Linked DNA regions of Macaca mulatta. The protein of the gene in region 1 interacts with the protein of each later gene in a pairwise test. Links are inferred from orthologs where the notes say so. Each region holds a gene or a part of one and is shown in the gene's direction. Other genes may lie near its edges.

Region 1 (2,500 bases):
GCTATTTTAGAGAAAAGTTGCCAAAAAGGCTTTTCAGAGGAGTTAGCGTTTGAATCAAAGTAGGGATAACATACAAGTATTGAGCGCCTACTGTATGCTAGGCTCTATACCAAGTGTTGGCATATGGCAAAGAACAAAGCAGATCAAACCCCCTGCTCCTATACCTTGTGCCCACCTGGGGAAGGAGTATCCTAAGGAGAAGGGGATGCAACGTGTGCGAAAGCCCAAAATGAAGAAGGAGCTTGGGCTGTCTCACGTGATGGCTGCACACTGGTGTGGCTGAGAGAACGGGGGACGAGGGATATTCCTGGTGAGATTAGAACCCCATTTGGGCCAGCAGGGGAGGGACTAGCAGCCGAAGGGTCACAGGGCTTGAGCCCCCTCCCACTGCCACCCTCAGATCATGCTGTTGGAGACAGCCAGGCGCTACAACCACGAGACAGAGTGTATCACCTTCCTGAAGGACTTCACCTATAGCAAGGACGACTTCCACCGTGCAGGTAGGGCCCAGGGGAGGCTTTGGGGAGGCTTGGCCCCCCTGCTAGCTGGAAGACCTGGGGCCAATTCATCCCTGTCAGAGTCTGTTTCTTTATCTCCAAAGCCGGGGTGAGGGTTGAGCCAAGGTGAGAGCAAGACAAGAGTGTGTATGTCATGCGTGGTGGTGTGTGCCTGTCGGCCCAGCTACTCAGGAGGCTGAGGAGGGAAGATGGCTTGAGGCTACAGTGAGCTGTGATTGTGCCACAGCACTCCAGCCTAGCGACAGAAGAGACCGTGTCTCTATTTTTTTCAAAAAAAGCATGTATTGGCCGAGCACGGTGACTCACGCCTGTAATCCCAGCACTTTGGGAGGCTGAGGTGGGCGGATCATGAGGTCAGGAGGTCGAGACCATCCTGGCTAACACAGTGAAACCCTGTCTCTACTAAAAATACAAAAAATTAGCCAGGCGTGGGGGCGGACACCTGTAGTCCCAGCTACTCGGGAAGCTGAGGCAAGAGAATGGCTTGAACCCAGGAGGCGGAGGTTGCAGTGAGCCGAGATCGCGCCACTGTACTCTAGCCTGGGCAACAGAGCGAGACCCCGTCTCAAAAAAAAAAAAAGCATGTATTGAGTGCCGACTCTGTACAGTGGGTTGCAGTGGAAGTTGAGACAGAAGGGCCCTGTTACCATATCAGGCGTCTTGGTGGGCACTAGGGAAAGCATCCCCCCACCCCAAAACCTGGTCTCACCCAAGGGAGGCAGCCTGGAGCTCAGTCCATTGTGAAGTGGGCAGCCTTCCCTACTGTCCAGGAGCACTGCTTCCTGCCCTCCGAGAGCGCTACCTGGGTGTGTCGCCTGGGCGGGTGGGCTTCTGGAAGAAGGCCTGGGCAGTGAGAGGCACTGCCTAGGAAGAGGGTGGGAGGCACGTTGCTAGTGCTGCAGAGCATACACCGGAGCCTCGATTCCTCATCGTCCCGTAATCTGTGTGGGACCTCTCTGCATTTCCCGACATCTGTCTGAGTCCCACCCTCTCCCCTTCCTTTTACCCTGGCCCTTTCACCACCCAAGACGGTCCCAGTAACCCTTTTAGTATGAGCTTAGCAGGGCAGGGCTTCGTGGAAGCGTTTCTGGCAGGGGGATCGGCGATTGCAAAGGCCCTGAGGTCAGGGAGAGCCGGTGGTTTGGAGGAACTACAGGGAGGCCCAGGCAGCTGGAGCACAAGGAGACGGGGTGGAGAGGTCGGGAATCCCACCCTACCCCTTCCCAGCCCCTCCTCTGGCACCACCCTGGAACACTGCCAGAGTCCCCTTGAGGGGCCCCTGCCTCCACCCCCGCCTGATGGAGCTGCTCACAGGGCAGGCAGAAGGGTCCTGTCAGCACTTGAGGCCGCCCACATCCCTCCTCTGCTCAGAACCCTCCACAGCTCCCGTCTCACTGGGAGAAGAGCTGGAGTTCTCTCTGTGGCCCACAAAGCCCTTTAGGACCTGGCCTCGCTTACTCTCTGCCCTCAGCTTCCACCCTCTCCCCCTCCTCCAGTCACTCTGGCCTCTTACTGGCACCCACCTGCCATGCTGTACTTGGGAGTTTCCTTTGCCCAGAACTAGGGGGACCAACTGGTCCTAGTTTGCCCAGGACCTTCCCAGTTTTAACACTGAAAGTCCCATGGCCTGGGTAGCCCCTGTCCCAAGTCCTGGGAACAGCAGACAGTTGGTCACCCTCACAATCCCTCACCTCCTTGGGGTTGGTCACTGCTCCAGCGTCACCCACGGCATGGCCTTCCCTGCCCGCCTTGTGTAAAATAGAACCGTGGCTCAGCAGGGCCCTTTGCCCTTCTCTGCACTGCCTGATTCCATAGAACTCACAGCCTTCTGACTGGCTGGGCCTCTTCCTAATGTGTTTGTCTATGACCTGTTCCCTAGGCCCTCAATGTAAGTGCTGGGGCCTGGCACATGGCAGGTACTCGGTGATGTTCGATGAATGAACGAACAAATCAGTCGTGGGAATGAGTTTGGGCTTTACCTG
Region 2 (3,751 bases), on another chromosome or scaffold:
GCATGATCTCGGCTCACTGCAACCTCTGCCTCCGGGATTTAAGCGATTCTCCTGCTTCAGCCTCCTGAGTAGCTCTGTGCCTGGTCGTGTTTTCATGTTTGTATTACCAGTTCCAAATATACACATATTAGGACTCCACAGATGCTTACTAAGTGAAGAACACTTAGTTTGAGGATAGCAAATTATACAGTTTTTTCTTTTTTTTTTGAGACAGAGTCTCACTCTGTCACCCAGGCTAGAGTGCAGTGACATGATCTCTGCTCACTGCAATTTATGCTTCATGGGTTCAAGTGATCCTCCTGCCTCAGCCTCCTGAATAGCTGGGATTACAGGAGCGCACCACCGGGCTAATTTTTGTATTTTTCGTAGAGACGGAGATTCACCATGTTAGCCAGGCTGGTCTCAAACTCCTGACCTCATTTGATCCACCTGCCTCGGCCTCCCAAAGTGTGGGGATTACAGGCGTGAGCCACTGCGGCCAGCCAGAAATAATTTTGAAACGAAAAAAATGAGAAAAGGGGAATGAACTGTGCTAGTCTCGCTTTGAACATCATGTTACAATGCGCCACTATCTTTTTTTTTTTTTTTTTTGAGACGGAGTCTCGCTCTGTCGCCTAGGCTGGAGTTCAGTGTCACGATCTCCGCTCACTGCAAGCTCCGCCTCCCGGGTTCACGCCATTCTCCTGCCTCAGCCTCCCGAGTAGCTGGGACTACAGGCACCTGCCACCACGCCCGGCTAATTTTTTTGTATTTTTGGTAGAGACGGGGTTTCACCGTGTTAGCCAGGATGGTCTCGATCTCCTGACCTCGTGATCCGCCTGCCTCGGCCTCCCAAAGTGCTGGGATTACAGGCGTGAGCCACCGCGCCCGGCCGCGCCACTATCTTTCTTAGGATGTAATTACTGCATCTAGTATCTCAGGTTAAACTTATTTTTCATAAGACATTTCTGATACCGATACCCTTTGAAATGCTAGTCTTGGCCGGGTGACTAGCCAAGGCGAAACGCCGTCTCTACTAAAAATACAAAAATTAGCCAGGCGTGGTGGCGGGTGCCTGTAATCCCAGCTACTATGGAGGCTGAGGCAGGAGAATCGCTTGAACCCGGGAGACGGAGGTTGCAGTGAGCCGAGATCGTGCCATTGCACTCCGGCCTGGGCGACAAGAGCAAGGCTCCGTGTCAAAAAAAAAAAAAAAAAAAAAAAAAAAGCCAGTCTTTAAGTACAGCGACATGTTAATTAATCAGTTAATTTGCGAGTTAACTGCTAAAATAAAATAAACAAAAAAATGCCGGTTTCCGAAGGGAGCTGAAAGCTACATACAGCGGCGTGAGGCCTGAGACAACTCAGATCAAAGAAGACAGGGCTGAAAGAAATCTCGCGAGGCCCACGCATCGACCAATATTCGCGAGATTTCGATGCCCTGTCCTTTTCCTCTTTCTGGCAGGACCACGGTTTATCTCGCGAATTTTGGGAAGTTCCGTTGGGGAAGATGGCGGCGGCCTCGAGCACCCTTCTCTTCTTGCCGCCGGGGACTTCAGACTGATCCTTCCCGCGAAGAGTAGGGACTGCTGGTACCCTGCGTCCTGGAATCCCGAGCCAACTTGTTTCCCCCGTTAGTGGTGGGGAAGGGCTTATCCTTTTGTGGCAGATCCAGTCTCTCGCCGCCTTCAGGATGAAAGCTCAGGGGGAAACCGAGGGTAAGTGACTGAGGGGGAAAGGAGGGGGCGGGACACAACTGGGGGAGCCAGTTTGTGAGAGAAGGTTCTTGCAGATGTCCCATGGGGGCCACTTGAGGGGCACAGAGTCCGGGAGAGGGAATGTGTATGAGTTTTAGATTGTCACTATACCCTCCTTGATGACTATAGAGCTTCGACTTTGGGGTGATGGGGACTCTCAACTTCTGTGAAGATTTCATGCTCGGCTAGGGCACTTTTGGCCTAAAGTGGTGCGAGACGGGGCTAGTGAATACAAAACCAGCTTACATCTCCTTCCAGAAGAGACGCCTGAATAAATTTAGGGCTGTGTGTAAACGTACTGGAGACTATTTTGGCATGAATGAAATGATTAATTCCTTGTATTTATTAGCAGCCAGCGGATCCCTACAATGTCAAGTGTTCAGATCCTGTACTGTTGTGTATTTTTAAACTGTGCTGAATTTCATTCTTTTATTGACCGAACTAATAACTGCAGAAAAACAACTTTCCTGGGGAACTTTACTAAGATTTTCTAAAGTTCCACACTCCGGCTTAGATGCTTCCTTGGCATTTTGGGCATAGTTCTGTTGATACAGTGAGCTGTGTTATTGTTTGTTTATCTCCAGTTTACTCTGAGCTTTGCAGATTAGGGTCCTTGCCTGATTCATTTTTATATAGTTTCTGGAACGTAATAGTCGCTCAAAAAATCTTGGAGCATCGAAGTGCAGATATTTATCAGCAGGTTTCTCAAGAAAAACAAGGAGTGTGTTTTGGAGGAGAGGTCGAAAGGTGAGGCCCCGCGGGAGCAGTGACTCACATCTGTAATCCCTGCGCTTTGGGAGGCTGAGGCTGGAGGATCCCTTGAGCCCAGGAGTTCGAGACCTGCCTGGGCAACATAGTGAGGCCCTGTCTCTACAAAAAAATGAAAAATTGCCGGGCGCCGTGGCTCACGCCTGTAATCCCAGCACTTTGGGAAGTCGAGGCGGGCGGATCACCTGAGGTCGGGAGATTGAGACCAGCCTGACCAACATGGAGAAACCCTGGCTCTACTAAAAACACAAAATTAGCTGGCTGTGGTGGTGTATGTCTGTAATCCCAGCTACTTGGGAGGCTGAGGTGGGAGGATCACTTGAACCCAGGAGGTGGAGGTTGTGGTGAGCCAAGATTGTGCCATTGCACTCCTGCCTGGGCAACAAGAGGGAAACTTCCTCTCAAAAAAAAAAAAAAAAAAAAAAAAAAATTGGCTGGGCGTGGTGGCTCATTCCTGTAATCCCAGCATTTTGGGAGACCAAGGTGGCGGATCACCTGAGGTCAAGAGTTCAAGACCAGCCTGGCCAACATGGTGAAACCCTGTCTCTACTAAAAATACAAAATTAGCCCGGCATGGTGGCATGCCTGCAATCCCAGCTACTTGGGAGACTGAGGCAGGAGAATCACTCAAACCCAGGAGGTGGAGGTTGCAGTGAGCCAAGGTGGTGCCACTGGACTCCAGTCTGGGCAACGAGAGCAAAACTCCGTCTCAAAAATATAAATAAATTAATTAAAAATAAATAAATAAATAAAATAAAAAATAAAAAAAATTAGGACCAGGTAGTGACTCAAGGATGTAGTCCCAGCACTTTGGGAGACCGAAGCAGGCAGATCACTTGAGCTCACAAGTTGGAGACCAGCCTGGACAACCTGGCAAAAGCCTGTCTCTACAACAAATATAAAAATTAACTAGGCATGGTGGCACAAGCCAGTAGTCTCAGCTACTTGGGAGGCTGAGGTGGGAGGATTACCTGAATCCTGTAGGTCAAGGCTCCAGTGAGCCAGAATTGTGCCACTGCACTCCAACCTGGGTGACAGAGCGAGACCCTGTTTCAAGGAAAAATTAGCTATAGCCCCAGCTACTCTGAAGGCTGAGCTGGGAGGATCACTTGATCCTGGAGCATGGGAGGTCGAGGCTACAGTAGACCTTGATTGTGCCAATGCACTTAAGCCGGGGCTGCAGGGTGATGCTCTGTCTTAAAAAAAAAAAAAAAAAAAGAAAAAATGTACTCCTCAGGTGCAAGGGG

Evidence for each region.
Region 2: the proteins of NR1H2 (region 1) and MED1 interact in a two-hybrid assay, tested with the Homo sapiens proteins (2 studies listed by BioGRID and IntAct, with this or other methods). The link is inferred for Macaca mulatta from reciprocal best matches to the Homo sapiens genes NR1H2 and MED1.

Annotation. Positions count from the first base shown.
Region 1 is NC_133424.1:62,768,953-62,771,452, forward strand, and holds part of NR1H2 (oxysterols receptor LXR-beta), read left to right. Parts: intron 1-400; coding exon 401-500; coding exon of another isoform or gene 501-527; intron 528-2,500. UniProt on the Homo sapiens protein: Nuclear receptor that exhibits a ligand-dependent transcriptional activation activity. Binds preferentially to double-stranded oligonucleotide direct repeats having the consensus half-site sequence 5'-AGGTCA-3' and 4-nt spacing (DR-4).
Region 2 is NC_133421.1:63,789,060-63,792,810, reverse strand, and holds the start of MED1 (mediator of RNA polymerase II transcription subunit 1), read left to right. Parts: upstream 1-1,462; 5' UTR 1,463-1,672; coding exon 1,673-1,697; intron 1,698-3,751. UniProt on the Homo sapiens protein: Component of the Mediator complex, a coactivator involved in the regulated transcription of nearly all RNA polymerase II-dependent genes.